Linked DNA regions of Drosophila melanogaster. The gene in region 1 interacts genetically with each later gene. Each region holds a gene or a part of one and is shown in the gene's direction. Other genes may lie near its edges. The genes, in order: pb, Ubx, H and Scr.

Evidence for each region.
Region 2: of pb (region 1) and Ubx, changing one suppresses a phenotype caused by changing the other (phenotypic suppression), as found in Drosophila melanogaster (one study listed by BioGRID).
Region 3: of pb (region 1) and H, changing one enhances a phenotype caused by changing the other (phenotypic enhancement), as found in Drosophila melanogaster (one study listed by BioGRID).
Region 4: of pb (region 1) and Scr, changing one suppresses a phenotype caused by changing the other (phenotypic suppression), as found in Drosophila melanogaster (3 studies listed by BioGRID).

Annotation. Positions count from the first base shown.
Region 1 is NT_033777.3:6,738,417-6,745,016, reverse strand, and holds the start of pb (proboscipedia), read left to right. Parts: upstream 1-2,953; 5' UTR 2,954-3,849; intron 3,850-4,842; 5' UTR 4,843-4,917; coding exon 4,918-5,467; intron 5,468-6,600. Other genes in the region: zen2 (zerknullt-related), read left to right, coding at 943-1,002, 1,070-1,768. UniProt on the Drosophila melanogaster protein: Sequence-specific transcription factor which is part of a developmental regulatory system that provides cells with specific positional identities on the anterior-posterior axis. Controls development of mouthparts, and labial and maxillary palps.
Region 2 is NT_033777.3:16,729,383-16,735,929, reverse strand, and holds the start of Ubx (ultrabithorax), read left to right. Parts: upstream 1-1,503; 5' UTR 1,504-2,466; coding exon 2,467-3,232; intron 3,233-5,970; exon of another isoform or gene 5,971-6,547. UniProt on the Drosophila melanogaster protein: Sequence-specific transcription factor which is part of a developmental regulatory system that provides cells with specific positional identities on the anterior-posterior axis. Binds the consensus region 5'-TTAAT[GT][GA]-3'.
Region 3 is NT_033777.3:20,619,061-20,629,028, forward strand, and holds H (hairless), read left to right. Parts: upstream 1-2,877; 5' UTR 2,878-3,435; coding exon 3,436-3,438; exon of another isoform or gene 3,439-3,523; coding exon 3,524-4,238; intron 4,239-4,310; coding exon 4,311-4,484; intron 4,485-5,070; coding exon 5,071-5,831; intron 5,832-5,981; coding exon 5,982-7,533; intron 7,534-7,699; coding exon 7,700-7,728; 3' UTR 7,729-9,855; downstream 9,856-9,968. Other genes in the region: CG5466 (uncharacterized protein), read left to right, coding at 1-568, 802-1,022, 1,102-1,295. UniProt on the Drosophila melanogaster protein: Is a potent antagonist of neurogenic gene activity during sensory organ development. The expression of distinct cell fates by the trichogen (shaft) / tormogen (socket) sister cell pair depends on the level of H activity.
Region 4 is NT_033777.3:6,846,007-6,852,955, reverse strand, and holds the start of Scr (Sex combs reduced), read left to right. Parts: upstream 1-2,974; 5' UTR 2,975-3,411; intron 3,412-4,450; exon of another isoform or gene 4,451-5,040; intron 5,041-6,949. UniProt on the Drosophila melanogaster protein: Sequence-specific transcription factor which is part of a developmental regulatory system that provides cells with specific positional identities on the anterior-posterior axis.

The DNA of each region.
Region 1 (6,600 bases):
TTAGTTTACATAAGCCCGGGCGATCGTAAATCTGTGCTATATAGCACGTAGCTCGGGGGATATGACCGATTTTATAGCGGGCGATTGGATTAGCTTGAAGTGACACTGTTTTTACAATCAGGGATCAGGGTCGGATCGCTTAGCAATGCTAAGCAGGTAGCTCAACCCTTAGATATTCATAACTGACGCGGAAAACCCCGGGAAAAACCAAGACCTTTCCCGTTCATGGCCAAAACATACCTGGCCGGGGGATTGGGGTCTCGAAGGCATGAAAAAAGCTGGGCAGATCCGTAGGTATATAGGTAGGTAGGACTATCAGTGGATATTTTGGATGACAAAGTGAACTTAGAACACACTTATTTTCAAATGATAGTCAGTTTTTATTTGGATAAGAATGGAAATATTTCTCAATACTGAAATATTATTTATCTATAAGCTATCTCGTAGGCCTAAAGTTGATTTAAAATTAAAATAATTTTTATCTAAGAGTTAACGTTTAGGTGCCTTGAAAATGGAGATGTATTTTAATGTTTTCATCACAAAATGTTTCAGATCTTAAAATATATTACATTTGATTTTTTGCAAGTATTTATTTGACGAACTAAATAATATCATATAAATAAAACAAATAGATCCAGACGTAACATTAATATCCCCTGAATAATATTTCTCCGTGTGACGCTACTTAGAAGTACGTCGGTTTCTCTGGAGCCTGGAACTCACCTTGATTCGGAGCCAGGCTCAAAAGGACGCGACATCTACCAGCCCAGACCAGCCGTCTGGGAATTTGAAAGTGTCGCAGGCGGGACAGGTAGGAACCAATCCGATCCGTCACGAAGGGCTTCTGGGGTATATAAGCAAATAAGGAGAATCTAAAGGTATCTAGTTAAAAAACATCGGCCACAGCGGTCAGAAGCCAACAAATCGCGCTCTTCAAGAAAAATGTTTGCCATTCAAAGCGAAAACTATTTTGTGGACAATTACTCAGTCAGTGATTTAATGGTGGGATTTAAAAAATTACTGCTTATTTAAATAAAAACTAAGATTTAATTGATCTATATATTTATAGATGTATCCTTGCGTCGAGTTAAACGTAGAAGCCGCTCCCACGGCAACAACAAGGTCTTCGGAGAAATCAAAGAGATCTCGCACGGCATTCAGCAGTCTTCAGCTAATCGAACTAGAAAGGGAGTTCCATCTCAACAAATATTTAGCCCGAACCAGGCGAATCGAGATATCACAGCGTTTGGCACTCACAGAGAGACAGGTTAAGATCTGGTTCCAAAATCGTCGCATGAAACTCAAGAAGTCGACCAATAGGAAGGGTGCCATTGGAGCGCTGACCACATCTATTCCACTTTCTTCCCAGTCGAGCGAAGATCTTCAAAAGGACGACCAGATCGTAGAGCGTCTCCTTCGATATGCCAACACAAATGTGGAAACAGCTCCACTCCGGCAGGTTGATCACGGTGTCCTGGAGGAGGGTCAAATTACACCACCCTATCAGAGCTACGATTACCTCCATGAATTTTCTCCTGAGCCCATGGCTCTTCCCCAACTGCCCTTCAATGAATTCGATGCTAACTGGGCGAGTTCATGGCTGGGCCTTGAGCCAACGATTCCTATCGCAGAAAATGTAATTGAACACAATACACAGGATCAGCCAATGATACAGAATTTCTGCTGGGACTCGAATAGCTCTTCTGCTTCATCGTCGGATATTTTGGATGTTGACTATGACTTTATTCAAAATTTGTTGAACTTTTAAATATATCTTTGACTATATGTTTAGGCAACTGTACATACATACATATATAATCATTGTATTATACGAGCAATATCTTTCTGTGACTACATTATTATTACTTATTTTGGATGAAATAAAATATGTTTTATAATTAATGTGCGCATTTATTTGTTCAAACAAAAAATGCTGGTTGTGCAGCATTTGGGGATACATTTTGCGGACTCGATTTTCAAAAATTTCACCACCAGACAAATCAAATATTTTTAGACAAAATTCCATTTTAGTGGGCGATACAGTTGAGAAACTAAATAAGCTTGACTTGTTAAAACATTTATTTATATGATATTTATAATGAATGGCCTTGGCTTTTTATTTTACTTAATGCTTCCTCAAAGTTTCTGTATTTTTCACACATATATCTTTTTCACAATTTTAAACAATCTCATGGTGCGCATCGTCATTACGTAGACTGCCGATCACATAGCTCCCTGCTGTCAGACAACTTGTTCGTCAGAGCGTCCAAGTACGAACACCACCCCCAGCTGCAGTGCAAAATCGTGGCAATATTTTTACACCTGTAGTGACACCCGTGTGCATTAAAATCCGCACATAATTACAAACTCTGCGCGGACTGGATTGGAGAACGTTAGCAAAAAGAGGGCGAAAAAGCGGCCAAAAGGCAAAAAGCAATGCCACCAAGATTGACAGGAGAAGAGGCGCCCAAAACAAAAAGAGCGATGAGCGAAGCAAAATGTCAAAAATACCCATAGCCGAAAGCCAAAAAAGCCGGAGAGCGAGAAACTCGCTACTGTGGCTTTTTCTTTTCATTTTTTAGCAGATGCGAAATGTGTAAATAAGAAAAACCAAATAAATTCCGTCACAAGCAACACGTTCGCGTTGGAAGTGGAAAAAAGTGAATGAGGCAAGAAAACGCCGCGGAAATGATGGCCCAAGATACAGGGGTTCCCGAGCTACACGACCGCAAAGATACAAAACAAACTGCCGAGCCGGCCAATCAGAGGGCCGGAGACTTGTGCGCCGGTGTGTGTGAACTCCACCCCCTGGTCTCTGCGCGTAATGGCTATAGTAACCAGTTTCCAGATGGCACCGCGCATGTGCCGACCAGGAAAAAGCGTGATGGATGCGGTGGCTGTCGCTTAGGCCACTCCTTGATACTGGGTCCCAAAATCCCAGTTCAGTGCGTTCGGTGCTATTGGATGGAATGGTTGTTGGCTGCTATCTAGCTCTCGGGAACCGCACGAAGCTCCCCAAAAGCCCTCTGTCTCGCTCTCGCTACGAATCGGTTCGGTATCTAAAAAATAATATTTATTAAAATGACAGCTACAAAAATAGTTCAAAAATTTTGAAAACTAAAAAGTGATATTATTAAAACGAGTTGAAACCAAAAGTTTTACTATACGGTTGAGAAGCACTTTAGGAACCCCTGGAAACCCGGTTCTGCGCACCTCTTGAAGGCCAGAGAGGGACAGCTAGTGCCCACATGTGTATGAGTGCGAGTGGAGAAAACTATCTCAGACGAATTGCAACGACTGAGTGTGTGTCTGTGTGTGGCCATTGCAGCGATCGCAGCGACTCTACAAAACTCTACAAAATCAACACATTCCGCATACGCACCGTTGTACAGCGCGTACTTGCACTATTGTCGTTATCGCCGTTGTTTCGTCGGTTGTGTTGGCCTTTCGCGTCGCCATGGCTGCCAAAAGGTGTGTGTCTATGTCAACCTGAAAGCGAAAAACCAACTCCAAACACCACTTGACGGTTGAGCAAACACAACGGTGGCCATATTTACATTCGGATCTGGGTTCCCTCGCTCTCGTCGCGGTTGTCGCCTCTTTTCGCGGCCCACAGATAAGCCCTGACACACTGAAGTTTTACGCAAAACCCGCATCGCAAAAGTTGTGCCGGTTGAAACTAAAAAAAAAAAACAAACAAAAAGTTAAGCCAGTTACTATGAGCGAGTGCAGACAATAGTGAAAACGGTGACCCAAGTGATACCGGTGAAATTTCCACAAAGAACGCATATGTCAACGTAAGAGGAGAAATATGGAATACTGTGGTCTGTAAATGATCAACTTAATATGGTACGAAATTATCTTACACATATTTCTTACCTACATTTAAAAATAAGTGTATCCTTTTAAAGCACGAGAAAATCAAAGCGTGTCGTTATTTCGTTTTTGATACAACATGTTAGTCTAAAATACGAGCCTTTTAAGTCGGCAAAATGTTTACTGCAAGAAATATTTCAAATCTTTAATTGGCGGAATCGGAAAATATATTCGAATTTTCTTATTCATTTATACTTCCTAGGAAATTAGCTATGCGGCATTTCTTAGATGAGGATATGTAACAGCTTTATAACTTTTTCTGTTTAAAATATGTTAATTTATTTACTGACTATTAATCCTTAAAAAAATAATGTAAAATAATGTATGCGAACCAAGCCAATTTAGGTAACATTGTAGGACAGGTTGTATGTATTGTACATACATACAATACATATTGTCAAATCTCAATCGAAATTAGGTGGCCATAAATTTAAAGTGAAGGCCTAACAATTTCTATAAGAGCAATAGTAAAAATGCAGACTACAAATGAATTTCTGGCACAGAAAACTGAGAGACTAATGAAATATAAATTGGAATATGTAATTTAAAAATAGTCAAGTTTTTGACAGTTGCAATGTGAAAAATTGGATCGGTAATAATAAAATAAACATTGATTAGCATAGTAAAGTGACGATGTTTTTGTTTCTTAAAATGTTAATGAAGATAATGACATATCTTAATGAAGTATATACGTACATTATATTGAAATTATATATATTCAAAATATATAAATAAAAATTCAAAAATTATAAATATAATAATAAAATAAACATTGAATAGCATAGTAAAGTGACGATGTCTTTGTTTCTTAAAAGGTTAATGAAGATAATGATAACATATCTTAATGAAGTATATACATACATTATTCAATTTCACATTCGATAAGAACAGTGAAACCTCTAACTTCCTGGGAACTGAATCGTGATAACATTATTATGAGATTACAAAAATGGCTTTCCTTTCCAGGTTCCCAAGCTGAGGAACATCTAATACGCTCAGGAATTGAAATAGAAAGAATCTAAAAAAAATTATACCCAAGCTATGCAAGAAGTCTGCAGCTCCTTGGACACGACCTCAATGGGCACCCAAATCAAATCGGAATCTCCACTCAACCCGCTGCAGGTGCAAACTGGACAGACGTCCCTGCCAGTGGGTGGTTGCGGTGGTGCGGGCGTCGTGGGTGGTGTGGGTGGCGTGGGAGTGAGTGTTGGTCAGCCTGGTATCGGACAGCAGGGGGTGCCACCTGTGCCGTCGGTGCTCATGGTCAACAAGATGACCCCGAACTGTGATAAACGGAGCGCGGACACGGCCTATTGGATGACAGCATCCGAGGGCGGGTTCATCAATTCGCAGCCGTCGATGGCTGAATTCCTCAACCACTTGAGTCCGGAGAGTCCCAAAATCGGAACACCTGTTGGATCCGGCGCCATTGGCGGAGTAGGCGTCAACGTTAATGTCAATGTCGGCGTCGGAGTCGGATATCCGGTTGGCGTTGTCCCTCAAACGCCGGATGGAATGGACTCGGTGCCGGAGTATCCCTGGATGAAGGAGAAGAAGACATCCCGCAAGAGCAGCAACAACAACAATCAGGGTAAGTCCACATGCACATTACACTGGGGGAAGCATAAGGTTTTTAATTTAGCGATCGACCATGTCAATTTGAACACCATTCTCTGAAGAATAGGCGATAATCTCATCAGTCCATCTCAAACTATTGAATCAATCAAATAAAAAGTAAGATATTTTTATAGACACTTTTCCATATCAGTTTAGACCGGAATCAATTGGGTTCTCTTGTCCCGGCCATTTTTTCTTGCCGTGTACTGGCTGGTGAAATGCGAAACTCTCATTAATCACGAGCTCACAGAAACCTAAAGACTCCAATAGCGCCAATTATGCCACTACGAAGTCCCTCTGGCACCTGGTTTCGAAGTGATGAAGAAAGAGCCAGTGCTTTCGCTGACCATTTACAAAATGTATTCCGACCAAATCCCTCTACCAACACATTTATTCTCCCTCCTTTAATAGCAGCCAATCTAGATCCTCAAGAACCCTTTGAATTCCGACCATGTGAACTAGCAAAGGTTATCAAAGAGCAACTGAACCCAAGAAAATCGCCTGGCTACGACCTAATAACTCCAAGAATGCTCATTGAACTCCCAAAGTGTGCTATTCTTCACATCTGCCTGTTGTTCAACGCAATCGCCAAGCTTGGATACTTCCCTCAAAAATGGAAAAAGTCGACCATAGTAATGATTCCAAAGCCAGGAAAAGATAAAACGCAGCCATCATCATATAGACCGATAAGCTTACTAACATGTCTTTCAAAGCTGTTTGAAAAAATGCTACTCCTTCGGATTAGCCCTCATCTTAGAATAAACAACACACTTCCAACACATCAATTTGGCTTTAGAGAAAAACATGGAACCATCGAACAGGTCAACCGAATCACGTCAGAAATTCGTACTGCTTTTGAACATCGAGAATACTGCACAGCCATTTTTCTAGACGTCGCGCAGGCATTTGACAGAGTGTGGCTCGATGGACTTTTGTTTAAAATAATCAAGCTGTTGCCCCAAAACACACATAAGCTACTGAAGTCATACCTATATAACAGAGTGTTTGCAATAAGATGCGATACAAGCACTTCACGCGATTGCGCAATCGAAGCTGGAGTGCCGCAAGGCAGTGTACTGGGTCCAATCTTATACACCCTGTATACGG
Region 2 (6,547 bases), about 10 Mb from region 1:
CTGGATTCCCGACTCACGATATTTAGTTTGCAGTTGCGACTGCGATTTTTACTTTACTTTTGCTTTGCTCTGGGTCTTCTCGCCTTTTGGCTTCGCTTTTCCTTGGGCTTTTGGTCGCATATTTAGAAAATGTCGCCGCGTCTCCGAATGTGATTCAAGTGTTTGTCAGTGTGTGTGTGTGTGTGTGTATGTGGTGGTGCGTATCTGTGTTTTGTGCAAGTTTTTGTATCTTTCGCTTGTTGTTGATTTTTAAGACTTGGCACCGAAAATTTGGTCGGCGGAAAATGGCGCGAGCAGGGGTTGGAAAAGTAGAAAAGTAAATTTCTTCTTATAATAAGTTTATTTTGCAAACACTTGTGGCAAGCAACTTTGTTTGGTCGCCGTCGGTTTCTGGCTTAATCTACGAGCCGTTTGTGCGAATGTGGAAACTTTGACAAATATTTGCGAAACTTTCGCGAATGGCGCGGCGTTCTCGGTCTGCAAGACCCCGATCTATTTGCATTATGCATATGAATTTATTAGCATCAATTCCCACCATATTTACATTGACATTAATATCCCATTGAAAGTATTGGCGAACGGATTGAACATTTGGATTCGAATGCGAATTTGAATTTGAATAGGAAAAGGAAAACCGCAGCACACAAATTTTCCGGATCCCTGGCTTCTATTACCGTACAATGCCGAGTTGGGGTTGACTTATTATCAATAAACTAATGCTAAACACGAGACTTTTAATAAATAAAAAATAATGTCTTCATTAATATATTATAATTCGTTTTTAAAGGCCTAATAAAGCCTTTAAGTGATAAGTATCTTTTTATGCCATACCACATTGAATTAAGCTTATAGTTTTTGAGGTAAAGGTAAAAACGATTAATTTACTAATATTTTTCTAAATTGTGAAACAATTTATACGATATTTACTTCCATAGAAATTAAATTAATAATTACAATATTCCGACTATTCTAATAAATATATTTTTTAAAACAAAAACTTTTTTGCACTTCGTTGTGTGCAAATTATTCCCCAAAATATTGAACAATTAAATAATGACCAGCTTAAACTGAATAGAATTAGATACAAATAATTTGCGTAAGCCATATTCTAGCACAAAGATTGGGAACTGAAACTGTAGTCATAAGTGCGCTAAAACCGAGCAAATACGGGATGCGCATCGTTTGGCGTGCAACTGGCAACTGGCGGGCAGCCCGTCGAGCGTTTTTCGCCACTCAGTTGAAGGAAAATCAGCCCTCCTCCATGATGAATTTCCCGCGGCGAGCGCATTTTCCTTCCTCGCGAATGAATGAACGAGAGGCGCCCACCCCGATAAACTTAAACTGAACGAACACTCAAGAGAGAGCGCAAGAGCGCTCAAAAACAATCTGGTTTTGAGCGTTTCGCTGGCTCTCTGTTTCTGTTTTCCACTCGTTTTTAGGCCGAGTCGAGTGAGTTGAGTCGGCAGAGCAAAGTCAAAACACTGGCAACTGCGATTTGGTGCCACATTCGTTCGATGGCAACGGATTGGATAACAGGCGCGCGCTTTGTTTTATTATCCACATTATCAGCGGCATTATTGTTATTATTGGCCCTCAGCGCTTTACCGCTCGCCCACGCGTCCGCCCGTGAATGCCGCGCGGAAAAGTCGCTTTCCACTAGATTGGCGTCCAGATTCGAGGAAATCCGTCAGCAGACGCATTCGCGCCCGTTCGGTCAGCACTATGGCTAATAATCGTTCAAATCGTTAAAACCATAAAAATAATAATAATAATTGCAATAACAATAAACATAGTAATAATCGTAACGCTTACGAGCCTTTGATAGTGCCAAGGCAAGCGCAATCCAAGTATTCAAATTCGAATTCAATTAACAGCAAAGTGCAATTGGCTAAAAACCGAAACCAAAACGCAACAAAGTATACGAAACACTTGTGAAACCGTACAAACAATTGTGGAAAAAAATTTAAAGATTATTAAGATTGAAGTCTCAATAAACATTAGTGCTTAAATAAATTTAAAACGACCCGCGTGGAGAGTGCAATAAAAAGAATAACTTTTGAAATAAATATTTACCAAACAGAAAAATATTTTATAAATATTTAAATAAGTGAAAAACAAATTGGTTACTCTGAAACAAAGAAAATTCAAATTGGTGCTAAAACAAAGGAGAAAAAATTTCAAGAATATTTTACAAATAATAAGACATATTTAACTATATAAAACCAAACTTAATCAACAAAGACTTGGAGTGAAAATATAAAATAAATTTTAAAAAGAGTTTAACAAAATTTGTTTAAATCCAAAGGAGGCAAAGGAACAGCACAGAAAGCGAGGAAACACTCAAATAAAATCCGCCAAAAATCGCAGATCCCTGGAAACCAATTCGTGTGAAATCGGTCAAGCCCCCAACGACTTTTAGCCCGTCTCAGACGGAGCACCGCCAAGATTCTTACCGCCAGCAGCGCAATGAACTCGTACTTTGAACAGGCCTCCGGCTTTTATGGCCATCCGCACCAGGCCACCGGAATGGCAATGGGCAGCGGTGGCCACCACGACCAGACGGCCAGTGCAGCGGCGGCCGCGTACAGAGGATTCCCTCTCTCGCTGGGCATGAGTCCCTATGCCAACCACCATCTGCAGCGCACCACCCAGGACTCGCCCTACGATGCCAGCATCACGGCCGCCTGCAACAAGATATACGGCGATGGAGCCGGAGCCTACAAACAGGACTGCCTGAACATCAAGGCGGATGCGGTGAATGGCTACAAAGACATTTGGAACACGGGCGGCTCGAATGGCGGCGGGGGTGGCGGCGGAGGCGGTGGTGGCGGCGGAGCGGGCGGAACAGGTGGAGCCGGCAATGCCAATGGCGGTAATGCGGCCAATGCAAACGGACAGAACAATCCGGCGGGCGGTATGCCCGTTAGACCCTCCGCCTGCACCCCAGATTCCCGAGTGGGCGGCTATTTGGACACGTCGGGCGGCAGTCCCGTTAGCCATCGCGGCGGCAGTGCCGGCGGTAATGTGAGTGTCAGCGGCGGCAACGGCAACGCCGGAGGCGTACAGAGCGGCGTGGGCGTGGCCGGAGCGGGCACTGCCTGGAATGCCAATTGCACCATCTCGGGCGCCGCTGCCCAAACGGCGGCCGCCAGCAGTTTACACCAGGCCAGCAATCACACATTCTACCCCTGGATGGCTATCGCAGGTGAGTGTCCTGAAGATCCGACCAAAAGTGAGTGTCCACTGCAGCACAAGTCCACTGAAAGTCCCCCGAAATCCCATCCCTTCTGTCCTCATCCCTGCAGTGCCAAAGCTTTGTTGTTTTCCCAGTTGTTATCAAGCTCAACAGATTGCAGCTATGGCAACAAAAGTCATCCTGTGATTAATTGCCGTCTCTGCTCCAATTAACAGACAAGTCAACATGTAAGGCAATATAATGAAGAGCTCGAATCGATCATGGGAAAAACAGATAACAACTTGTAATGTAAGACATATGAAAGCAGGCAGAACAGACCTTTTTATGGCAGGTTCTTAGGGAAAAGACACAACACCTTATTGGCAATCAAAAACTTTAAGCGATTTAAAAAAAACAAAAACTAAGAATGTATTATGGTTATAGGAAGCCAAAAAACAGTCCTAGTTAATATTGTGTATATTCAAATTGGCTGAAAAGTTTAGAAAAAAAGATGTGATAATACTTGGTAAAAAAATTAAAAATTTTAATAAAAAATAGTAAAATTATATTCTTCAGAGGAAAAAAATTAGGACAAGTATTTTAGATTTATTAAGTGTTAAAAAGGCAAAAACCCCCTTGGCTAACTCAAAATTATTTTCCAATAATTCTATTTAAAGGCACCCATTTGCGTGGCCATAGTTTATTCGCTGGCCGCCAATTTCAGCGATTTAATCACTCTAAGCGAGATTTTATGGCTGTGATCTCGCTTAGAGTGATTAAATCGAGTGAAGAGCCATGAGTAGCTAAAATAAAAAAATAAAAAAAACCAGCTCAGACCCTTCGATTTCACCTGCTCCGCTCCGCGACACCTTGCAGCGCTACGTCTGCCTCATAATTTTCAACACTTTGTTTACTAATTTTTGTCACCTTTGCTTTTAATGATGCTCGGCGGTAATTGTTGCAGCGCTGGCAGCCCAAGTGAGCTGCAATTTGTGCAACAAGAGAGCGGCAACGAGCAGCGTGAGTTATGGCATGCGGCTTAAAAAGAGCTGCAAAATAGCAACGGAGAAGTCAAGAAATAGCAAAAGGCAGCAAAGGCAGCCACAGGAGTCGGCGAGAAAGGGCAAGAATCCTTTCAGGACACACACTGCGCGCAGAAGTCGCGCTTATTACGGTTAACTACGCCATTATGTAATTACGTTCAGCCCCTCACCGCTCGACTTTTCCACGGGTTTCAGTCACCAGCCGAGCGAGGCGAACGGCTTGCGTCTGGGCCGAGATTGCCGTTTGGGCCAAGAACAAAGCCAAGAGTAGGTCAGCCGAAGGAGGTCTAGGTGCTCGAAGATCGAACGTAAACTGCACTCAAGCTGGCACTAAAGAAATAGGGAAAATAGAGGGCTTACAAGTTATTATTTTCAAATTAAATAAATTGTTAACTTACAAATTATTACTTTTTTTTTAATTGTTCGAAAGACTCAAAAAATTATTTGTATTATCCGCTAATATTTTTTGTCTGTGTATAAAAGGGAGCTTGCAAAATACCCTTCAAAAATCAATCAAATTTCACTTATAGCCAACGCGAAGAGCTGGTTAAAAAACAATTAAAGTTGAACTAAATTCGAGAGCCTTGCGACAGGTTTTCCATCGGATCGATCCGTTCTGCAAGATGATCAGGGTAATGAAATTTATGCGCCGAGCCTGACCAGTCTGAAGTGTCGGTGATGAATTGGCCAGGCCAAGACCAAAGAAACACCATTGCCGAAAACCCTTCATACAGGGTGTCTTGTATAACACTTCCAGTGTGTCAGACAATCTCTGCGAGATATAACATCTTTAGTGGAACATTCCCTCTAAGAAATTCAAATGCATTCTTACCTGAAGATGATCGGACACGTTTACCTGAACATTTCATCTTAAATTTTTTTTCTTATAAGAAAACGAGACGATCTGGCAGTTACGATATTCAGACTGAATGAATTTTTCGAACTTGAGACCTGGAATTCAAAATATATAAATATATATGTATATGGCCTTATCTCTAATCCGCTAGATCCGCATTATTGCCATTTGTCACTGTTATCGCCGATTTGATTTACTCCAAAACATATAATGCGAATATAATTTAATTTTAAGCGACTTGCTCTGAGCGAACTGATTAAATCTGATGATCGCAACGGAAAATCAAGTCATAAATAAATCGGCGCACACTTCCAGCGATCATCGATCATTTGCCGCTGATCCGAGGCCCCAAATGCAAACCAAATTCAATTTTATCGTATCTAAACATGGCTTCACATTTGAAAAACCCACATCAGAGTTTTCTGGCCTTTGGAGTCGCAGTTGGCGTTGCTATGTTGTTCTTGGGCCGCTGTTTTGTTGTATGTGCGAACACGGCGAGCGGCGGGCGGAGGGCATTAAATCATTGTCCTGAAGGCTTTTAAGTCATTATCGATAAATTTCAACATAAATTCGTAAATTTGCTTTATTTGCCCGGGCCGGTGTGTGAGGTTCACGTCGGCGAAGTGGTTTATGGCCGAGTTCTGCGGCTGTCCGAAATTTGTCGGTCGCCTAATTTCGAACGTGGCACAGGAAGAAAATTATAGGGAAAAATTACAGGGAAAATCATTTCAGCTGTATTTAACAAATTCAACAAATATATTTAATTTATTAAAAAACATGTGCAATGTGTGATTTTGGCGAAGCAAAGCCAAATATTTTGAACTTACATATCACTTATGAACTTAAACATCATTCATAGTCTCTCTTTTGAATAGAAAAAATTAAATCCATACATTGTGTAATAAAGTCGCATGCTAATTTATTAATGTGATTTTATGAAGAATTCAATACTGATTCAAGTTTTTCCCAGTGTAAGCACAGTTCGAACTCATAAATAGATTTTGTTGCGGCTTGTTACTTTTTTTTGTCCCACAATGACCTTGAGAATAGCTGGGCGGATGGTCAATTGACACGTTTCGGTGCAATCATAATTCATATTTGCCGCAGTTACCGAGGAAAGAACTCTCACGCTGTGACGTAATTATCAGGATGCCTGGTATTCCAGCATATACACTTACACAACTACCTGCAATTGTATGGAACACGTAGGGCCGAGGAGGGCACGTCATATCCATGCAAGGTTAATGGGCTGTGGGCTGCAGGAGACACACCAAAATTGTGCAGTTCAAATGTCGGGCAACAGTTGCCGTTGCAACATGCAATTAATTGCCAGGGGAAGTGCGTCGATGATGCCGCTGATTATGTAAATGGCGAAGTGCAAGCGAACGCACACAGGAAAACCTTTCAACGCGCGCTTTTAATCATTTTTTTCGCGGAGCGCAGAATGCAAAATTCAGCAAGATCAGAAACAAA
Region 3 (9,968 bases), about 14 Mb from region 1:
TGCCGCCGCAGTTGCAGCACCTGACCAAGCAGCAGCAGAGCACTCTCCAGACGCAGCTCTCCCAGATCAGTGCTGCCGCCGCTCATCATCAACAACAACAACAGCAGCAACAACAGCAACAGCAGCAGCAGCAGCAACAACAACAGCAAGCAGCAGCCAAGCACCAGCAGCAATTGACTGCTGCCCTCATCCAACAGCAAAACCGTGTCCTCGCCCAGCAAAATTTAGAGAAGCTTAGCAACCACCTCAGTCCGCTGGAAAAGCAGCGAGTTTTCGCCCAGCTGGATCCAAAGCACTTTGATCCCATGGCCGTTGCGGCTGCAGCCGCCAATCTTCAAATCCAAGGCCTGATGCAATCGCAGGCAGTGGCTGCCGCCGTCGCCGCCAATCAGCAGACTCCGGCGGCTACGACTACATCTGCTGCAGGAGGAGCTGCAGCCGGCCCGCAGGCCCATCACGGACACCATCCCTTGCCACCGCCATCGCAGTCGCCACACTCATCCTCTTCGTCTTCCTCTCATTCCTCGTTGGACCAGATTACCCACAAGAACGTCGCCGACTCCTTGCGGTGGGTGAGATTTATTAGATATTATTATTTTAAATTCTTTTTCTTGGCAAAACATGTGTACAAAGACTTATTTTTTTATTAAAACAAACAAAAAATATTGTATGTATTTGATAAGTAACGAATTAGGTTGTTTACAATATTATTTATTATTTGCTATATGTAAAGTAAATTGATCACTTTTAAATGTTTGCTTTAGGCCCTTAATTGAATTCATTTAACTTTTCCGATTTCAGTTCCAATCTGGACTCAATAGAATCGAATAAGGATCTGCTGGCGCTGCACAACGGAGCCTGGGCCACCGGCGATGCCAATCGAATGGATCACTTGGCCGTGGGTCAGGACAAGATAGTGCGCATCTTTGCGGAGCTGATGCGAAACATGTCGCGGATGAAAACCTACATACGTCCCTCGATGTGCAAGCCCTACGGCAAGCAGAGTGAGAGTCTGCAGAAAAGTGAGTACCTTGGCTGGGAACCGGTTTCGCTATCTGCGATGCTGACCGCCTCCTGCTTGCTCGTTCTCTTCCCCGACAGCCCTCATGGACACCATTCAGATCGTGCAGACGCTGCGCAACTGCCTCCCAGCTCCTCACATACCCGTGTCGTCCTGGAAAAGTGAGAGCGAGGGCAACGTGGGATCAGGAGTGAGCGCGGGAGTAGGAGTGGGTGTCCCTGCAGGACTTAACCTGGGCGCCGCCTTGGGTCTGCCATCGGGCAACATGCACTAGATGCGGGCTGGAGCTCATCGGGTAGCATGCAATAGCTCCGGATTTATCCACTCACATTCTTCCAGCAGTTAGAGAACACTTAGTACTTACACGCAGAGAAAAGCATAGATGATAGGCATAGCAATTTACCCTCGTAGGCGTGGCTCCAGTTTTCCTTTTAGCAATTACGTGCCATGTTCAACACAAGACTTGATTTCACATTTTCCACATTTGACTGACCTTTAGGCATACATATGTATCGAATCCCGCGGCTTGAATTTGATTCCCATCACTCTTTGTTTTCCAGTTTGGCATGCAAAATTATGAAGCAAATCGGCAAATTAGTTAAACAATTGGCAAAACGTCTGTGATATTTGAATTATGTTGGCAAACGGAAGACAAAACTAAATTTAATTTATTACGTTGTGTGCCCTCTGTTGTAATGTCTTACTTTTTACTTTGTGCAATATCTACTAAGCATATATTCTTAGCCGTTCTCGTGCAATCGACGACTTTTCGCCCATATCAAAAGCAACTCGAATGTAGCCTATACTTAAACTAACCTACTGATAATCGGACATGATAGACGCGTAAGACTTACATTATATTTTGCATTAGGACTTCAGAGTATCTGAATAACAATTGGCGGATGGCCGCGGTGGCGAAAGCGACATTACGAGTTGTGTTTAAATTTAAGAAGCTGAAGAAGGGTTGTACTCCGCATGCAAGGGCTATTTAAATATATATTTTAACCCGCCCGAGCTCACCATTACCAGAAATTCGATAAACGAGCAAACAGTATTATACGCAATAAAAAGACACCTGCAACCATAAGTATTTACCTAGCTGATGTGTGGGAATTTATCGTAACATACCATATTATCGCTTAATGTTTAACTTCTGGACTTAATAATAAATAAATATTTTATTCTACGACAAAGAAGAACTTTTCAATGTAACATTATTAACTGCTTTAAGTCATATCCTTAAACTTTCGCCTTGAAAATCTTTAAAACCCTACAGGTATTCCAAATTAATAATCTCAGGTGCTAGAAATTTAATTAATATATTTTGGAAACAGCATAAATTAGTGAAAATACAACATTGTTTTAATCAAACATTTTTAAAAGCATGTTTTCGGTTGCAAAGTTTTCCAATTTCAATCCTGAAATTAAAGTTGAGTTGAACAATTGCTATAAAAAGCGACCATTTATTACGTTTTATAAACTGTCCCGATTGTGATTTTAGTTGTTTATTTTATTTCATATTTAAAACCGTTACTATTTTAAAAATCGTTCGCTAAAGATTGTGCTTTTAAGCATTGATAACTATCGCTAATTGCCAGAATTCGTAATCTTATTTGACTTGAATTGTAAAAATATAGGATTTAGGATTTTTACCAAATAGATGTAGTTCAAAGAACACAATTCTTTTTATTATTAAGCATTTTATTTTGGGAGTTCCTTGCACTAGCTTTTTGCAGCGACCTGTGTGTAAGCTTACATTGAGATAACATTAATGTGAACGTGCAGCGAATGCAGCACTATAACATTGGCCAGTGGAAACATGATATTTGCTAGCATGCTGACTGGCGCCGTGGATTTTGACGTTCTTAGTTGACGGTCACACAGCGCACCGAGCTGCGTTTTTCGTTGATAATTTTTAAATTTATTTATTAGTTTATTGGTTGGAAATAGAGCTGCCCCCAACTGCCCGCTGACCACGGAATTATCGGTCCGGTCCACCGACCTCCGCTTTCACACACTATTCGGCAATCGATATATACGCTGACGGTAATTGGAGAACGTTTTTTCCATTTTATCTCCACCTTGTCCGCACTTCGTTTTGTGCTCTCTTTGTGCGCTGCCTCCGCTTAACATTTGGGCCTGTAAGAAACACATATAAGCAGAACGGCCCGCCGTGTGTGCCTGTGAAATTGGTTAAATAACGTACAGTGGAATGGGCCAATGGCCAAAATGCAATAAGAATATGTGTGTGCAATAAAAATAGGGAACGGTACCGTGCCCCAAAACATGAAAATGGTGCTAGACGCTCCTAACGCCGTGCCGAGCTGGCATATTTTGCTTAGCGACGCCGTCGGCTCCGTTTTTCCCGGCCGCGAACTTTGCGCGAGGAATTTACAACAAAAACAATGAATTAAATGGTATTTAAATTGTCCATATAATGCGGTTTGGAAATGCGAAATTGTGCCTAACTTGCCCAATGCAAACGAATGTTTCTCTTTGAAGGCCCTGCTTAATGACGTCACAAGCGTAGCAGAGTGCAACAGACAGACAACAATGACCGATGAGCATAAAAGTAACATTAACAGTAACAGCAGTCACTCCAGCAACAACAACAACAACGGCAGCAGCAGCAATAACGACAACAACAGCAACGACGACGCAGCAAGTAGCAGCAACAGCAAAAACAACAACACCAGCAACGAGAGCAGCCACAGCAACAACAATACTAGTAGCATAATTGCAGAGGCGGCCGCCAAGTTTCTACTGAAAAATGGCCTAAACGGCAGTAGCAGCACCAGCTACCCCCCTCTGCCACCGCCTCTGCCCGCCAACTTAAGCAGGACGACCACGCCCACGACAACGACAACGCCCTCATCCTCCAGCTCCACCGCCTCAAATGGCTTTTTGCCGCATGCCAAGACGCCCAAAAGTAGTAGCATTATGGCTGCGTCCGCCGCAGTGGCAGCCAGCGTCGTTGGAGCTACTGCGTCCAAGCCCACCATCGATGTCCTGGGGGGCGTCCTGGACTACAGTTCCTTGGGCGGAGCTGCAACAGGCTCACTGCCCACCACTGCAGTAGTAGCGGCGGCAGCGGGAACAGCGAAGATCGGCAAGGGAAGCAACTCCGGCGGAAGCTTTGATATGGGCAGGACACCAATATCGACGCACGGCAACAACAGCTGGGGCGGCTACGGTGGTCGTTTGCAGTTCTTTAAAGGTAAGTATCTTGGTTTATTTATACCGAATCAGAGCAGTGTAAAGAAAACCATTTTTTAACTATTCTGCGTAGATGGCAAATTCATATTGGAACTGGCGCGGTCCAAGGATGGCGATAAAAGCGGCTGGGTTTCGGTCACGCGCAAGACCTTCCGCCCTCCATCGGCGGCCACCTCCGCAACTGTGACCCCAACGTCGGCGGTGACCACAGCGTATCCAAAGAACGAGAATTCCACATCGCTGAGCTGTACGTAACACATGGCATAGTAGTTCCCAACGGATTACCCCTTCCATTTAATTACTTGACCCGATTGGAATCAGATTTGAGTAAAAGGAATTGGATTTTGAAACATGTGTAGATAGCTAGCTTAATCCGAGCGGTCAAAGCTTACAAACACTTGCAGTTATAAAAAACATGTGCCTATTTGACTTAAATTGTTCTAATGGCACGTAGAGGATAAAGTCCAATTTCGAAAACAAAAAATCTGTAAAAAACGACCGCACCTATGTTCAAATCTCTGATCTATTTTAAAACTGTATATATCGGCCATCTCTAATATTATATTTAAAATCTACGAAAATGTCAAACGTTTTAATGAAATAGTAAGAAAAAACCAAACTGTTCAGAATCGGTCATGTTCTTTGTATGACAGTTTTCCAATTCGATCCTATAAAATATAATGTCCTCCCATCCTTGTATACATTTAAATCCTATTTCATAAATTGTTAACAATCTGAATCAAACAAAAGCAAATATTTATTTATGCCAAACTATAATTAACTACTACAATTTGTCTATGTATACCTTGCGTTAATATTCCTCTTCATTGCAGTTTCGGACGACAACAGCTCGATACAATCCTCTCCTTGGCAGCGAGACCAGCCCTGGAAACAGTCCCGACCCAGGCGCGGCATATCTAAGGAGCTGTCGCTCTTCTTCCACCGCCCCAGGAACAGTACGCTTGGCCGAGCTGCTCTCCGGACAGCCGCTCGCAAACGACGGCGCCCCCACGAGCCGCTTACCACCAGCGAGGATCAGCAGCCCATTTTTGCGACGGCAATCAAGGCGGAAAATGGAGACGATACTCTTAAAGCAGAAGCTGCAGAGGCCGTTGAAATTGAAAATGTTGCTGTGGCGGACACAACCACAAATGAGATTAAAATTGAAAAACCGGACACGATCAAAGGCGAGGATGATGCTGAACGGCTCGAAAAGGAGCCGAAGAAGGCGGTTAGCGATGATAGCGAGTCAAAAGAAGCATCGCCCGGTCAGCAAGTGGAACCACAACCAAAAGATGAGACTGTTGATGTTGAGATGAAGATGAATACGAGCGAGGATGAGGAACCCATGACAGAGCTGCCCAGAATCACGAATGCCGTAAATGGTGATCTAAACGGCGATCTAAAGGCGAGCATTGGGAAACCAAAATCCAAGCCGAAGCCAAAAGCCAAGCTCAGCAGCATCATTCAGAAACTCATCGATAGCGTACCAGCACGGCTTGAGCAAATGTCGAAGACATCAGCTGTGATCGCATCGACAACGACGTCTTCAGATCGCATTGGTGGCGGTCTAAGTCACGCCTTGACGCACAAAGTAAGTTTTACTTGGCACAACCTGCATAAGCTGCGGTTTCAAATGTTAATCATGTACTGCAACATTTTTATTATGTTAAAGTTGTAAATCTAGTTAGGGACTTTCATAAAGAAAAAACTTTGAATTGACCACTTAAATATCTTCTTTTAGGTTTCTCCACCCTCTTCTGCGACAGCAGCCGGACGACTAGTCGAGTACCACACCCAGCACGTGTCGCCCAGGAAAAGAATCCTGCGCGAGTTCGAAAAGGTGTCGCTAGAGGACAACGGATGCGTAAACAACGGCAGCGGTGGAGCTAGTAGCGGTGGTGCTGGAGGAAAACGGAGTCGAGCAAAGGGAACTTCGACATCGTCTCCGGCTGGCAAGGCGTCACCAATGAACTTGGCGCCACCCCAAGGAAAGCCAAGCCCCAGTCCCGGCTCCAGCTCATCCAGCACTTCGCCAGCGACCTTGTCAACGCAGCCAACGCGGCTCAACAGCTCTTACAGTATCCACTCCCTGCTAGGTGGGAGCAGTGGCAGCGGTAGCTCATCCTTCTCCTCCTCTGGCAAGAAGTGCGGCGATCACCCGGCAGCTATTATCAGCAATGTGCACCATCCACAGCACTCAATGTACCAACCCAGTTCCTCGAGCTATCCACGCGCCCTGCTCACCTCGCCAAAGTCGCCCGATGTGAGTGGCAGCAATGGCGGGGGCGGAAAATCGCCCTCGCATACAGGAACCAAGAAGCGTTCGCCACCGTACTCGGCGGGATCACCCGTAGACTATGGCCACTCCTTCTACAGGGATCCCTATGCGGGAGCAGGTCGTCCTTCCACATCGGGCTCAGCATCGCAGGACCTGTCGCCACCGCGCTCTTCCCCAGCATCGCCAGCCACGACGCCGCGTACTGTGCCCAAAAAGACTGCATCGATCCGACGCGAGTTCGCTTCACCGTCGGCCAGCAGCAGTAGCTGTCCCTCGCCCGGCGACCGGAGTGCATCGCCCCCGGAACGGCGGCACATGCAGCAGCAGCCGCACCTACAGCGTAGCTCGCCGCTGCACTACTATATGTACCCGCCACCGCCCCAGGTGAACGGGAACGGCTCGGCCGGAAGTCCGACCTCGGCGCCGCCCACGTCGAACAGCAGTGCAGCTGCAGTAGCGGCGGCAGCAGCGGCCGCAGCCGCATACATTCCCTCGCCTTCGATATACAACCCGTACATATCCACACTGGCGGCGTTGAGGCACAATCCGCTGTGGATGCACCACTATCAGACAGGAGCGTCGCCCCTGCTGTCGCCACATCCACAACCCGGTGGCTCAGCGGCCGCCGCTGCTGCAGCTGCTGCTGCGAGATTATCGCCCCAATCGGCCTATCACGCGTTCGCGTATAACGGAGTGGGAGCGGCTGTTGCCGCTGCAGCAGCTGCGGCAGCCTTTGGACAACCGGCGCCCAGTCCCCACACGCATCCGCACTTGGCCCATCCGCACCAGCATCCGCACCCGGCTGCACTGACCACCCACCACTCTCCCGCTCACCTGGCCACGCCAAAACTGACTGATAGTAGTACCGACCAAATGTCTGCAACGTCCAGTCATCGCACAGCCTCCACTTCGCCGAGCAGCTCGAGCGCATCGGCCTCCTCCTCGGCGGCCACTTCGGGCGCCAGCTCCTCCGCAATGTTTCATACTAGTAGTCTAAGGAATGAACAAAGTTCAGGTAAGCATTCAATCAGTGCACCAATAATGGCAAGCAGTTTGATGATTCAATTTTCATTCCTCTGGGAATGTCTGAAGAAAATATATTACAGATCCATTTATTATGTTGTCAATTTAATGCACGTAAAACACAATTTAATAACGTTTCTTATTTATTTCTTCCTTAGACTTACCACTGAATCTGTCAAAGCACTGAGACATACACACGCCCCAGCTGCCCCAGTTTCTGGGCCAACCATTCGAGTTAAGAACATTTTCGCACTAGTAGCGCTTAAGACGACATTCAATACACGTAATATAATTTGATAAGTTCGCTGATAGTTTAGTTGTAACCCGATTGTTTAATCCTAAGCCTAATCCTAGGTTCTCAATTAGGGCCGAACATTTAGAAATCGCATACAAAAAGAGATGAAAAACTCAACTTTGTTTTTAAACCCGTTCCAGAACTCTTTATACAATCAGTTGAGAAATTTTATTTTCGACAAACTGAATAAAATATGCAAAGGAATTTTATTCTATGCCGACTAATGGAAAGAAATACTAATAAAAACATTTTCTATAGGATGTATAAAATGCAAGTCTTAAAGAATCTCAAAAAAGAGTTACGTTTTTTTCATCAAAACATTTCCTTGAAACAGACTGAACCTGAATTTTTTTAGAAAAAAAAAATGAAAAACTTAGTTACGAATCGCAAAATATAACATTTTAAAGTATATTTAACAAAACTACAAGAACAGATTTTTATAAAATGCTTGTGCCTTTAAAAATGGAAACAGAACTAGGGATACAAAAATTAATATTAAAAAGAAAAAGAAGTTTACTATAAAAACATTTATGTGCAAGCATGTGCAGGTATTCTATGGTGAAAACTTTAGAATTTCTTGATATCGTGGTCCAAAATGCAGTTGACAGGAATTTGCACTAAGCAGATTGTATACGACACCAACTTTTTAAGTACTTTTAAAAATGTATCTTTTAATTATTTCGGAATAATTATTCTAAAATAGTTAAAAGATAAAAGCAATCCAAAACTATACAACTCGTCTGTACTTCAAAACGAAAGAGATTACTCTTTGGTCTTACATTTTTTGGTAGACTGTAAAAACTAAAATTCGAAAAAATTGTTGAAGTTTGAATTTAAATCCTCGGCGGATCTAAATTTAACCTCCACGATTGTTGTCACCATCAAAAATATTATATAACTGTGCCTAGTGCACATTCGCTGTCAGTGGCTGTCCAATCAAAAACAAATAAAATGTACAAAAAATCCACATATACGACAAATTTACAAGAAACGGAAAGCAAAAAGATCCTAAGCAGACAATTTCAAACCGGAACTCGTACAACTGAAACTGATACAAATAAAAAACATATTCCTAACGCAAAAAGACAAAAACAAAACGCGGTTTCTCATATTTTCTAAATTATTTATATAAATCAAATGTCTATTTATATTTACTGATATGATAATGTGTAAGTAAATAGGTGTAATTGTAAATACAGTATTTTTACACAACAAAAAGTTAATCAATACGCGAGAAATAACCAATATATTTAATATAACTATTTTTATAACGGATTTTAACAAGTAACTGTATATTTTGTATCTGATTACGCAGAATAAAAAACAAAACGAATTCCATATGAGGTCAAGAACAGTTTGCACAAGGCGGCCTGAAACTTGCTTAAAACTTAATGCACTGAACAAAATCCGAACTAAACACATCTGTTCCAGGCAGATACAAAATATTTTCCAATGGAAAAATGGAGTAGATTCATTTATTTTTTACTAATCAATACATAAATCTTTCAGTTCGAAATTTTTAAGCAAGTTGCAGTCGGCTAAACTTTTTAGTAGGCTTTAATGAAAATTAAAAAGAAATATAAATACAATTTTCATACAAATTCCATATGGTTTCTACTACCTACTGATTAGTTAGTTAGATAGGCGTCTAGGGACTATTAATTTACATTTGTAACGGTACTGTGTACGACGTTTTTGTTTAACTGAACGGTAGTGTTTTTAATTTGAAATTCGATGTTTTTAGTGAGTGGCTATTGTTGAACGAACACATGTACTATGTGCATTGTCGAACAATGTGCGCAAACCCAAAAAAATAATTTTGGCAAAAAGTGAAATATATGAAGTAAGCAAATGGTTTCAAGATACTGCATCTCGTGATGTTGGAGTGTGTGTGTAAAGTAAAGGAAACAAAATTAATTTTAAAGAAATATATTTTATATAGGTATATATACTGCAACTGAATACTTGATGTCAATAAAAACTTATACTAAATGTATGAAAACGTATCTACGAAAGCTTTGCGTTGGGCATGATTAATCCGATGATCCGATTTCCCCATTAAAACGACGTTAGTTATTGAGACGAATGCGGTCTATCGTAAACGTAGAAGCACATAATATATCTATATTTTT
Region 4 (6,949 bases), 110 kb from region 1:
GCTGTAGCAGTTTGTATATAATGTATATATGTAAATCATGTACATGATATATACACGAGTGAATGTAACATTATGTAGTAAATTACAGTTTAAATAATATAGTGAACTCATGATATATTCTCATACAGTCTTGCAAAAGCCCAAACACTTGAAACACTTTAACAAAGTTGAAGTTAATAGTTTTAAATACACTTGACATATGAATGAATCAGGTGGTAAATATTTATATATATTGTAGTTCCATTTAAAGCTAATTAAAGTAAAATGGCACGCATAAAATAAAAGCTACATAACACATTTTAAAATATGCCCGTAAAGATCACATAGTCATAACTCGTGCCTTACTGCTCCTTTCGTGTACACCAGTGCCTCCTGCCCTGGTTCATCGCTTAAGCTCAGCTGTTGTCTCCTCCTAATGACCTCCAAGGCCCTTCTCCGCAGAACCGCTTACCCAGTCTCAAGACCAAGAAGTCCTCCCCCACCCCTGACCAACTTGGCCAGCCATCTTGTTCAACTAAGTAGCTCGCCTGACAGCTGAGCAACGTTTGTCATAATCAAATGTGAATGGACTGACACTGACACAGGGGCTCTACGGACTGAGGACTGAAAACTGAAAACTGGTAGCTGCCAAAAAGCAGAGAGAGGAAATTAATTTAAATTGGCCTTTAATGTAAATGCATCTCTCAATGCATCGCCAACTGCAGTTGGTTCTGTAGGAGTTTGCTCCGCTCCAGATACAGCTTATATCCCGACTAACACCGACTTGTGTTTGCCCCCAAATTGGGGGTATTTATCAACTACTCGTAGACATGGACTACCCATCCTACAACCAATTTCAAGAACCCCCATTTCCATTACGGATGCGTGAAGAACTCAAATGGCAAGGTATTAACGAATTGTCGTGAGTTTGGTTCGGGGAGGGGTATTCATTTTTCTTGGATCGTTTAATTGGAAACTGTTGCTGTTGCAGTTTCGTTGATGCACTGAGACAAAATCATACTAACATTAATTTTAACCTCTCTTGCTATTCAAATATAAAGCCCCAAATAGTAATAAAATTCAGTAATTGTGTATGGAAAAGAAAAAAAAATTTGTTTAAATAAACAGTTTAATGTTTGGAAAAGTAAATTTAAAATTAGTTATAAATATGTTACATTGTATTATAAAAGTTACCATAAGTGCGTTACATAAGTTACAAAGTTTTTCTTTGTGTTTTTTCTATGTCCAGATTTAATTCAAAAATTCCAACTTCGCGTTACGCGCTGTTTTCTTTAACTAAAAACAAAATACAAACGCTGCTGATTGTTTCATATTAAAAATTGAGCGTGTGTGTGCGAGGGGCAACATTTACAATCGGAGGCAACATGCAAGCGATGATGAAAAATCGCCTGCAACATGTTGGATGCTGCTGGGGACCCTCCATGGATCTAGAATGGAATGGGATCCGAGAGGATGCTATGCTATGCTATGGATTGGGATACGAGAGTCTGGCGCTGGCTGCCCGCTGGCATCGCCAACATCAACTCCAATTACAGAAGTACACGCAGGCGTCTCTCTTATGATTTTTTTTTTTTAGTTTTTCATTTATTTTCCATCATTTGTTTTTTTCTATACTTTTATATGGTTTGTGGATGATGCGGGCCAACCATAAAGAGCTGACATGTGTGTTTCAAAAACACAGCGGAAAACATATGGCAAAAAATACGACTTCTATAAGAAGAACAAATCGAATTGGTACATAAACTTAAGCTATAAATTCCGAAATACGTACTTACAAAATTTATTTATATTTTAATAAACATATTTTCGAAAGAATTGCTGATTTCGCGTTTCGGGTTTCGAAAGTAACCGTTCAGTACCACTTAAAAAAACACTTTTATTACAAGTTCGTATCAAATAAACGTATTAAGTTTATACGTTTTTAAATAAGATAATTTTTAAGACACTCACTATAAATACTTATTAAAACAAACTTTTGCTTTTGCAATATATTACGAATGACCTATGCCATTTATCTGTATTTGGTATATGTTTGTGGTTTCGCAACATAAACGTTAGATTCCAAAAATAAAAATAAAAAAAATAATCTCATTCAAAATCGATTTTGGGTGTGTCTTAACCAGCAACTCATTTTTATGATAAAAAATAGCTAATCAACATTTAAATCTCCGAGACAAACTAATCAATTGAATTCAAATTCAAATGACGCCAAAATCAAACCATATGTGTGTTCAGCTCTGAATGCGATGCTGGATTGTTGGTAGCAAATATGAAATCGACTTTTAATTAAGGCATTTAGCCAAACAAATCAAAATCGTTAAGCCCCGATGCTGAATGAATCATGAGAACTTGAACTTGGCTACGGCCCAAAGAGAACCCGATCCGCAGCCCCGAAACAGACCGATAAATTTAAATTCAGAGACAACTGCCAACGAGCTCGTTTTAAAGGAGGAATAACTTAAGCTTCAGCAGGAGACTTTGCATTTTGCCAGGCCAATAAAAATGGAAATGAACGCGGAGCGGAACGTTTATAAAATAATAATGCGAAATAATAATGTGGCGGTGATTTAGCGGAACAGTGCCACGATTGAATACAAATAAAGTGGGGGAGACGCCTAATCTAGGATGATTTCGGCCTAATCTGGAGCGTGAACCGGGGGCAGATGTGTCCTGGAGTGGCTGCCAACTACCTGTTTTTTCTCGCTTTTCTCGTATTTCTCGCTTTTCTCGAGAGCGCGCTTTTCCCCAAATCGAGGGAAAAGCTGGAGCGCCATAGGCCGGTTGCCGTGGCACCCTCGTCGCATAAATCAAGACTGGGGGCGGAGTCTGCCGTGGGTGCAAGTGGGACAGCAGGATTTTCGAAAATGCGCACTGTCCGTCCTCTCTCTCGCACTCGTTGGCCGGGTCCTCAAATGATTTACAGTGTTCGAAACGCACACAAGGCAACGCACGAGAGGGTCGTTTTGTCGGTTTTTATGGCTCAAACGTGAATTGAACGTGGCGCACTTCAGTCGCCAAGCAGCGCGCTCGGTCTTCTGCAAACATAAAAAGATACAGATACACGTTCTCGTATTCGTACGCGTAGCAATCCGCGAAGTTTCCGCTTGAAAGCCAGTCTTGCGATTCCATGGAAAGCTCTTTGGCGACGGCAAGGTGCCATGGTCTCCCCATAGCGGATACTTTACCGACTAACTCCTTTACATAGGAGCGGAATTACCTACCCACCTCAAATAATTTCTCAAACTGCTCATCTTCGCAAATAACTAAGATAGCAAAGTGCAGTGCAAAAGGCAAATACAATTAATACGAAAATAAAAAGTATACAGTGAAGTGCTGGCTAAGAAAACTAATTGAATTACAACGACTTGTTCGTAGCGTCTGATTGGATTTCCCCAAATCGTCCACATAAAGGTAAGAAAATAACAAACGTAGAAAAACTAAACTCTGAATGTAAGAAGAAAATTTAAGAAAGTTTTGCCCTTAAAGGTTTAAATGAAACCATCGATATATCGTTAAATGGTTCCTTTTAACCTTTCTAAACTTTTCCACTCAAATCATTCTGAATTAAAACTGCACTGTGGTGTGGAGGATTGAATATTTTAGAGTCAATTTAACAAACAATAAATATTGTAGAATACAAAAAAGGTGTCAATTGTAAAAAATCAATATAATATATATATATATATTTTTTATAAATATATATTATTTTAGCAAGTTCAGAAATCCAATTACTTTACTTCTTTGCAATACCTCCAAATGTTATATAAACTAACTGCACACTTAACTAAAAAAAAATATATGAACAACATTAAAAATATATATTAAATCTTCAGAGACAGATTTTACTTCTCCAAACTCCCAAAATGAGTCCCAGAGTCTTGATTTTATCCCAACTAGCCCAAAGTACGGAGTTCGAATGTTTATGATTTGGTCCCCCGAAATCGATCTCACACGGACAGTGTCGGTGAGAACAATAAGACTTTAGTCGCAGTTCGAAACATGATTTTCGAACTACCGAGTAACGATCTCTCTCAATAAGAACTTGTTCGAAACACGCGAGAGCGGTGCTTTTCGAACTACCGCTCTTTCGAACTCACACACACACACACCGATGTGTCGTATTCGTATCCGTGAGATACAATTTGTGGGAACGAATTTCTGGTTTGGCGGTTGATTCGAAACGTTCTTCGCGTCCGCAAAGGTAGTTTCAGCACATGCCTGAGAGCGAGCGAGATGGCGGAGCGGCGCAATGCCCGTTGTCTCTCTCGCACACTTTTCGAATAATGAACACTGCACTTGGACGACGATATGTAGCTGTATAGCCATATAGCCTTACTTGCTCGTACTCGCAGATACAATTGGACGGGGGAAATGGAGCAGTATGAGTGAGCCAGAGCGCTGGCGTATCTGTGTTTTTTATTGATGCTCAGAAATTTGAATTATGCCCGAGCAGTCAAAGTGAGACATTGGCGCTTCGAGCACGTATCCGCGGATACACCGGAATAACAGAAAAAAAAGCACAAATAAAAAAACTCAAACAATCCAACACTCAGCTGTTCCGCGTGTAAAGACCCTCGAATACTGTTCGATTTTAGCGAAAGATGGATGGACTGCAAAGTGCTTGCATCGATGCTGGCGCTGATGGACAGTCATAAATTCGGCGTGAAATTCGCGCAGATACTTAGATACTCCGTCATAGCGCATATACTTATCGTGATCTGTAACAAATTGCGCGTGTGCTTGTGTGTTTGTGATACCAAAAGCCGTCCAAATCCGTCGCTTAGCCCTTTGCGGCCAATTACCCATTAGAACCATCCAAAACATAAGCCTGCAGGTAGGACGCAAAAGTCTAGCCAGTTTGCCCTCAGGATGCCATCGGATTAATTTCCCAGATATCCGGCTGGTTGTGACAATTCTACCTTCGTAATTGTGCACGTTGATTTCCGCACTCAGCACAAGTGAAAATCGTGGTTCAGTGCAGTGAAAATCAGAAAACAAACTCACTTGAACGGAGGTGAACGCCGTCGGCTAACTAAAATTGTGAGTAAACGAGTTTAACGGCTGAAAATATTTTAAGCGCTTTGGAACAGGTGAAAACAGTCATGGAAAGGATATTTATTCGTTGTCAGTTTTTGTTTTGTATTTTCTAGTGTTTTTTTTTTTGATGTGTTAAGAACTTATGTAGCAATATTTGGTCTAAAGCAATTTAATTATAGTTTTTTCTTAACAATTTGATGCGATTTTATTTATCAAATAATATTTACAATAAAAAAGTGCTTTGTTCGTATGTACATATTTTTTTAAGTAACAATATTTCTACCACCTTAAATTTTATTTTTAATCTTACAATCTTTATCTTGTACTTTGACTTTCTTATTGAAGAAATAATACCAACACTAGTAAGTTAAAAAAAAATAAGAAATTTTTAATTTCTTTAATAAATCAATTTAATATTCTTTGAAGAAATCATCAAAGGTGCGTAATAATTTCCCCTGTTTGCTTCTTAAGACACTCCATATCAAATAATATAATTTGAAAAAATCAATGAAATATATTTTGATACCTAGTAACCGAACCCAGAAAATACATTTTATATATTTCCCTATATCGGGGCTTTGTTTCTGTATTCTGTTTAAGCAATTTTTCATAAGGTTGCGTGTGCGGTATCAACGCAAGGAATTTTCACTTCATTAAAGCGAAATGCAGCCGCTTTTGAAATAATTAAGAGGCACAAAGGCGAAATGTCACAGCGAATGAAAAATGCCTAACAAGCGCCGCATATAGAAGGTTAATCCAGACACATAGCGTTATATACCGAGCCCAAGCTGGGATAGGGATGAAGAAATGCCCACGATATAGGCTTGGCTACTATCCGGGGAACTCGAACTCATGCTGGCCAAGACGCCATGGGGCGAACATGAAATTATGTAAAATAAAAGAAGACGCACTGGGCTGGAACTTCATGGGACTTTGCCAATGACCGAGTAAAGGCGATGCTCCTGGGCAGTATTCTACATCCCGGCATGGCATCCCACATGTGCTCTAGTCGTAAGTGGATGAAATTCCACTTGATGTAGGTCACTTTCATTCGCCCATCTCGCCAAGGGTGGGCCAAGATCAAAGAGCTGGAGAGCTGGCTGCATCGATTGCATAATATGGGCACAACACTGAGACAGTTGCAGGCCCAGTAACAATTCCACTCCGAATTGCAGTCTATACGGCTAATTGGAGGGTAGGGGCCAGTCCAAAGTTCTACGAGTGTCTTCAGCAGCGCTGTAATTTATTTGGCCTGCGCCTGGCGGAGACATTCATCATGGCCTAACCCCGGCTCTTCCTGACGCCCCCCTCAAATATTTCAACAATACTCGTTCATATTTATAAATCAAAATCGCAAGCACGCAAGCTGAAAATTTGTGCTAGAGTCGTTGATCTATTGGCCGCAAAAATGGCAGGCCGTTCTAACAGGAATAGAAAAGTCTACAATAAAAGCTAGAGTAGCAAAACGAAAAGATACAAGACCGAAAGACAAAATAATACAAAAGAGGTTGGAACAGCATATATTGAATGCCATTTGTTTAGAATTAAAAGAAATTTATTGAACCATGAATGCTGCGAGCATATACAACTAATACTTGTCTTAAAAACCCGCCCCTCTACCTAAATTTATCCTAATAGTTGTCCGACAAAACTGCTCTCCAAAAATATGACTACAAATTAAGTTGGCCAAGGATTACCCATAAACAGTGGCAAGACCAGGATACATTACACAATTGAGATGTCCTTGACCAGAAACAGGACTACTTAAAATGATAATTCCGACTCGACCATTGCGCAAAAGATCATAAATTATCGCAGTGGAGAGGAGAGGAGATGACAAGCTGAACCACAAATGGCCGCTTGCAGCGAGGATCGGAATCGATGATTGGTTTTCAGTTGGGAAAACAATTGG